Caenorhabditis elegans: one gene and its partner. The protein of the gene in region 1 interacts with the protein of each later gene in a biochemical or structural test. Each region holds a gene or a part of one and is shown on either strand. Other genes may lie near its edges.

Region 1 (3,756 bases):
ACTTTTGCAAATTTTTGATGCTTTTCTGGATATAATTAGGTGACCATTCTTCAGGTAGGGTAAACATTCTGGAAGCTAGGTTTTATAAGATGAAAACAAAACACACTTGCCACGAAGCTTCCAGAATGTTTGTAAAAATCTAATTTGGAAGAGTTATATTTGTGAGCGGAAATAATTTCCTTATAATTTTCAGCTTGTAAAATCATTCACATCTAATAAAAAGCAAATTAGGTAAACTATAAAATTAACAAATAAATTACCACTGCTTGAAGTGTAGATGTGATAAGAATTGGTAGAGCAAAGACGGCAAGAACTGCAACAAATACAGCAACTGATGACGAGAAAACGGCCAATTGACGCATTCGTCGCGCTAACAGTTCTAGATCTTTCTCATTACCCTTCATTTTCTGAAATTACTATTATAAATGTGTTAGCCAAGAGTCTCCCATTGATCACAGAATGGCAAACTCAAATTATAAAATATATCTGAAACAGATTAAATGTTATTGTATAAGATTTACATTTTTCAAGTTTTAATTTCCATTATTGTTTCCGTTTTTCTGTCAAGAAATCTATAGATGTGAGCATCAAATTTTTACAATAAGTTTGTTGGAGAGACTTTTAAAAATGAATACAATAATTGAATTTTTCTTCAAAGTGAGGAAAAAAGTAAATGTTGTATCCGAATGAAAGTTCAATACATTGAAAAATAATGTGAATGAAAAGCATTCAAATGTTCAGATTTTCGTTCAATACGAGGCTAACAGCATAAAAAAAAGAATACGCGTTATCACAGTGTTTTAAGTGTAAAAGAGTGACGAAGTCTAATGAAAAGGTATGCGTAGTTTACAATGGATAATTTGGGTGTGGAGAAGTTAGAATGATGTCTGCTGATGTTAATCACTTGAATTCTTGTTTTCTGATCTGCAAAAGCTTCTTCTTGAAATGGTTCTCGTTCTTGATATTCGAGATAGCTTTGAAAATTCCAAATTTTTGACAAACATCTAGAAATTTATTTGAAGATGAAGCAGTGTCTGTAGAAATAGTAATCATGTTTTCAATATTTATCATGTTTTCAATACCGTCCAACATGGCCAAATATTATAAAAAACTCTGAAGTGTAAAAAAATATTTTTCTATTTTTGAAAATTTTGGCAAATTCCCAATTTTCGAGAAATATTGGTTTTTAAAAAATAATTTTAGAGCAATGTCGCATTTTTGAGCATCTACAATGTTCAGATGCAAATAATTAAAATATAAACTTCCAAAATTAAAAGTGAGAGGAACTGAGTGGTTGACACTTTTGGCTGTAAAATTAGCACTATGTAGAAGAGTGGTGTTGAAAAACACAAAGTGTCTTGTAAAGAAATCTACAGTTTCAGAAAACCTGGATATTCAAAGTTTCTGAAAAGTACCACTCAAATTGCTCCTAGAAATAATTTTAAAAAACGATTCTCCATTTTCTGATAAAATTTCAAGTTACGGAATGTTTCAAATTCTAAATGAATCTGATTATTTTTCTTGCTACACGAATCTGAAAATCTAAAAATAGTCTTTTTCAAAGTTCCAATGAAATTTCCAGAGATCTCGAATTTAGATTTTTTGGAACAGTAATTAAAAATGTTTATCTGTTTGTGACTCTTCCAACTTCTTCCGCGTTTGTGTTTTCCTTTCTAAATTCTGCCAAAAAAGAAAAAGATCATCCGAATGTTTCAGAAATGAAGAGTCGTCAAGAAAAGAAATAATGCCAAACACTGATATAAAATTCATAGAAAAGTCACTTTGTATACTGTATGAATTCCGAAGAAATTGAAAGGAATTCTCCGATAAGAGCAGGCTCACCAAAAATGCATGAGAATGGGGAGGAAATGTGGGAGGAGGAGAGCTGAGATGAAGAGAAGCTGCTTCACCGATGGATCAGTTGTGAGACGATTCGATCATGCAAGTCGACGCCGACCTCCGACCGATTCTCGGTCCTCAACTCGTTCGTTTGGATCCTATGAGAGTTAAGCAATTGCAGTAAGTTTTTGATATATTCACTTAGTTTAAGAGAATGGAATGTTCATAGTGTCTGATATTGAGTAGTGAAAAACCCATTCACGAAAGTTTTTTAAACATTTGGTTTAGATGGTATCAGGTATAGAATATTTCTTTTTTATATATGATTCCATTTGCAATGTCTGTTAATCATTTTAGTTTTCCCCAAGATTTTAAAGATTTGCCTGATGTGAGCTCATATTTCTTCCTGTAGAATTGATAGTTCCACTGCTGAAAGTGTTCAATTCCTTTTTTAAACAGTTACAATGTGCTTTTCAAGAGATTCAAAATTAAAAAGGAGCTACAACGCTACAAATCTCTCAGTAAAGTTATAAGGATTTTGAATTGTGACTTTGAGATTGTGTTTTATTGTTAGAGGCTTGAGAAAATCAATTTTTAGTGCAAACATGTAATAGTGTGGAAATAATAATGTTCTCTGAGCAGATTGAGTCCAACATAAAGGTTTGCCTTGTCATTTAATCAAAACAAAGGGGAAAATTTTAACTTTATTGAAATTCGTTTTGATCTCAATCTGTGTTTTTTCTCGCTAATCATTACAATGGAATAAACTTATGTTGAAATTATATTTCTTGAAATTTTTCAGCTGTAATGTTAAAATACAATTTTTTAAACATATTGTAAATCAATGCCGTGGAGCACGAAATAAACTGAAGCTAACAATGAAATTCTGAAAGCAATGTATCTCGGAGCTTCCTACTGGTGCTAAATAGTTTTTGAGGAATCGGGTGAAGTCTTGTACTATTAGACTCTCTAATTAAATTTTGGAGTCAGACGACATATATCAACGTTTATTTATTCACATTTGTTGGATCTGAAGACATCAGTTCCTTCTCTATTTTATTTCTGAAATATAGTGTAATCACCTTTCATCATGGTTAATATACATCTTGAATTCAGTAAGAAAAAACTGGAATATTTGAATGTTTTGTTATTCGAAACACTGATAAAATATCAACCCGGTTATCTTTTTGCATAGCACCACAAATCATTACAACTTTAAACCTAAATGATTCTTGTGATTCTTCTTTTTATTTCTCACTCATGAGATAACCTGTTCCATTTTTCGTTTTATTTTTCCAACGCCTCCCTCTTAACAATCTTATCAATATATCAATTGAACATGCGGAAGATGTGATAAAAGTGATGATAAGGTTGAATTGTTCTTTAGTTGGGGATTGAACTTTCAACTAAATCTAGATTATTATTTTTGGCAATTTTGCTGAATCGAGTTGAACTAACTATAATCTGAAGATAATTGGAATTTAAAGAGAAGCTAGATTTGAGCTTTTTGGGGTTCTGTGAGATTAGAAGGATGATCTTACCAGAACAAATATGAAGTGTCACTTAAAATGGTCCGAATATAATTTTTTAAAAATAAATTCATCAAAAATATTTCAGGGATCCAATTGTCTATGAAGCAATCGATAATCTTGCTAAACTCTCAGCTCATTGCCTTCAGCTTCGTACTCCTTTGACAACTTGTGAGAAGCTTATCAACTCCGATTCAACTTTATATCTCTCTTGGAAATATGATGAGTAAGTTAATATTCTTATTCATATACTTCAGTTTTTCACAATATTACTCAATCATTATCGAATGAATAATACGGAATACTGTCAGACATATATTTTCTCGTCGCGATGATACTGTGGTCATCGTATGGAGTACTGTAGAATTATGAAGAGATATTGGGTATT
Region 2 (3,756 bases), on another chromosome or scaffold:
TTCTCGAAATTTTAACTTTGATCGAAATTGAAATTTTTTGCCGAATTTTTTCTGTAAAATTAAAGCTATCGTCAAACTCTTTTTTACAAAATCAATAAAATACACAAACTGAAAAAAAAACAATTCAGCTAGACAATTTGAGATTTTTCGATTTTTTTTCAAAAATTTTCAAAAACTGCACAACAAAATTCCCTTCGTTCTTTTTTCTCAAAGCCTTTTCTTCTCAAAATTTATCATTTTCCAGTTCTTCCAAGAATATGAGACCCTATCAAAAATGAATGAAAAAGGAAGATCATCAGCTTAAAAATTCATACAACAGTGGTCCCAAGTCCCCCAAAAAATTCCAAATTCATCAAAATTTGAGTGTTAGAAATTGTGATAAGGTCCTAGGATCCTATTGGTAGTAGGGAAAAACTTAAAATTTAACAAAAAAAAAGGAATTTTTTTGAAATTATACTAGTTTTGAATACATTTTAAGCAGTAAAGGCCAATAAATACACAGCTGAATACTAGTCACCGCAAGCTTCATCGCAGAGCTCTGAATCTGAATGCATTAGGAGGTTCTTTCCATTTCCATCGGTAAACCAATCCTTTTGCTCATTTCCAGATGGCTTTCTCTCTCGGCTCTCTCCACCTTACACACTATTTCCTTGGATTACTGTAGTTGGGCGGAGTCTCTAAGGGGTAACCTGATACTGTTTGCTGAGGGCTCACGGAGCCAGAGAGGGCAGATGGCTGGAAATTGGTGGAAGTGGTGGGGAGAAGAATGTGTTGTTGGAAAATGTAAAAATTAATTTTTAATTATTAATTTTTTAACATGTAGAAACTTTAAAAAATTCAACTGACTTGCGAAAAGGTTTTGAAAAATTACAAAAAAATTTCAAAGCAAGAAGTTTTTTTTCAATTGTTTTTTAATCGATTTCTCTCAAAAACCTGTAGAGCTACGAAAAAATTGTCAACAAACAAAGTATAGCTCTAAAAATTGTCTACAATTTGCTAGTGAACAAATTTTTGATAACTTTCCTGGTTTTTGAGATATACAGCTTTATCTACAAAAAACGATTTTTTTTCAAACTGTATTTTGAAAAACTGAACTAGAATAATAATTGGGATCCGAAAATTTTAATATTTTTGATGTTTTTTTGTGGAATATTCGGCAAACTTACCAAGCTCGGTGAATGGCAAATTTCGGAAAATTTGCCGCACACCCTGGCATGTACCTTTCACCTAGGTTCCTTTAGACACATGTATTTCCGCGACGAGATAATGTATCAAAAAGTTGTCAACTTACAAAGTGTATCAAATTTCAAGAGCTTAATTTTGTTTGTTGGCAATTTTTGATAACTCACCTGGTTTTTGAGATACGTACGTTTGAATTTTAAATTTAAAAAAAATTGTAGAAACTTTTTTTTGAAAACTTCTCACCAAAACTAGGTCTTTAGAGTCCTTTCTAATTTGCCTTTGGGCAATATGTTACTTTTTCCCCAGTAACAGTTAAATTATATGAAGTAGAAGTTTCGCGATGGGAAATATCAAAATGTAGAACATCATAAAAGCTATATTTTGCTAATTACCAGCAGAGATATAAGATTTTTAAACACTGTCAAGGAAATTTTTTATTTTGTATTTTATTAGTTTTCAACAGAATTTTAATATGTCAAAACCAATGTTCTTAACAATTTCGCAACATTTTAATTTAATTTCGTTTTTTCTCTGTTTTTCGGAATTTCATGTCGTCTCCTTTCCCATCCTAAACATGGAGCTCGCGGAGCAAAAAAAGAAACATAGGAGGGGCGGAGCATGTGTCAACACGGAGAGACGCAGAGAAGGCACGTCTTCAGAAAAGAGGCTCACAGAGCACAGAGCCCCACTTGTGTGTGTTCTGTTCCATCTCAACTCGTCGCCCAGCAAACACAACTTGTAGCTCCTCTTTTGCAAAATGGTGGGTTTTCTAGATTTTCTGAACAATGTTTATTTGAATGTTTAGATTCTTGAGATGCTAGAAATGAATTCTTGTGAAAAATGAATTTTGAAACATTTAAACCTCGCCATAAAAACTTTACGAATCTGATTTCTTGTTAAAACTACCAGTATCTAGAAAAATAACGTGAATACTAAAAATTTGTCAACAGACAAAATATAGACCTTGAAATTTCCTACATTTCGTTAGTTGAAACTTTTCTTCTAACTCTTTTCCCTGTGGAGATATACTCGTTCAAAATGTAGCAAGCCAAACAGTGTGGAAGGGGGCTGTCTGCGTCTCTTCTCGTGCCACACTATTCCAGTCCTCCTAACTTTAACAGGGCATATCTCCGTTCGGAAAGCAACTGTCAAAAAGTTGATAACTAACAAAATGTAGGAAATGTTAAGTGCTGCATTTTGTTTGTTGAAATTTTTTGATATCTCAGCTCTTCGCTGAGATACAAACACTTAAAGTTAGCGACGAGATAGTGTAAGAAGTGGTGAGACGCAGACGCCATCGCCGTCTGCGTATGCGTTATCAGGACACATCTTGGTTAGGAACCCTGATATCAAAACAAATTATTTTAACAATTTTAGGAAAAAAAAACAATTTTTCGAAATTTGATTTTGAAAAACTAGGATTTTAGGATTTATTAACTCTTCCACCTCAACACCCCTTCAACATTTTTTCGACTCATTGAGCACACCTGGTGCCAGGTCCGGACTTCCGGAGCCCCACCACATAAACACAGGAAATGTTGCCAATTCAACTGAAAAATGCTCCGCGCCGAGCAGGACGGGGCGAAGGAGGGTTGTTGAGGAGTTGAGACGAGCAACACAAAATGTATCCAATTTGGGCGAAAATTGACTTTTTTCTCTTTCTTTTTGCGGGTGGAACTTTAGGGAGGAGAGGACTATTCCTAGAAGAAATACGCACTCTTCGTGGCGAGACCCGCGAAATTTTATTGAAAATTGAGTTTTACAATAAAATAGTGGGTTTGAACAAATTTGAAATTCGCCACGAATGTAAATTTTTCAGAGGGTTTGATCTACCTGTCTACCTGTAATACATATCAGATATCGTAGTAAACTTTTTAAAATGAAAATTTGAAATTTTGATTCAAAAATTCAAATTCACCACGCTGTGAGCTTCAATTCAAGTATAGTCATGCCTAGGTTTCACTGAGAAAACTGGGTCCCACCGCGAAAACTACAGTACCCCATGTAGACACTTTCGTGACGGGACCCAAATCTAAAGGAACATAGCCAATATGGGGCTTAATTTGAAGCTCTTCGTTTGCTGAATTCAAATTTTATAATAAAACCCTTTAAAATCTACAAACAAAAAAAGTTATCTTGCAGAGAGAAGTAATTTCGATTCACATCGGACAAGCCGGAGTCCAAATCGGAAATGCTTGCTGGGAGCTCTACTGCCTGGAGCACGGAATTCAGCCCGATGGTCAAATGCCTTCTGACAAGTCCCTCGGAGGATCCGATGACTCTTTCAGCACTTTCTTCTCGGAAACTGGAAGTGGACGTCATGTGCCAAGAGCCGTCATGGTCGACTTGGAGCCAACTGTCATTGGTGGGGGATTTTTTTTAAGAAGATATTTTTGAATTTTCACTTAAATTTTTGAAATCAGTGTTAAAAGCCCGTTAAAATAAGTATAATCATGACTAGGTTCTGAAAATGCTGAAATTTTTGGGTCCCGTCACGAAAACGTATGTGGTACTGTAGCAATCTTACAGAGATGTTAAAAATTATTATTTTTGCGTAGTTCAGGACTTTACGCA

Evidence for each region. The genes of interacting proteins can lie anywhere in the genome.
Region 2: of the proteins of mec-17 (region 1) and mec-12, one has a biochemical effect on the other in vitro, tested with the Caenorhabditis elegans proteins (one study listed by BioGRID).

What each region holds. Positions count from the first base shown.
Region 1 is NC_003282.8:7,985,336-7,989,091, reverse strand, and holds the start of mec-17 (Alpha-tubulin N-acetyltransferase 1), read left to right. Parts: upstream 1-1,908; 5' UTR 1,909-1,939; coding exon 1,940-2,019; intron 2,020-3,456; coding exon 3,457-3,594; intron 3,595-3,756. Other genes in the region: col-115 (Col_cuticle_N domain-containing protein), read right to left, coding at 261-404. UniProt on the Caenorhabditis elegans protein: Specifically acetylates 'Lys-40' in alpha-tubulin/mec-12 on the lumenal side of microtubules. Promotes microtubule destabilization and accelerates microtubule dynamics; this activity may be independent of acetylation activity.
Region 2 is NC_003281.10:3,137,318-3,141,073, reverse strand, and holds the start of mec-12 (Detyrosinated tubulin alpha-3 chain), read left to right. Parts: upstream 1-1,839; 5' UTR 1,840-1,939; coding exon 1,940-1,942; intron 1,943-3,324; coding exon 3,325-3,547; intron 3,548-3,756.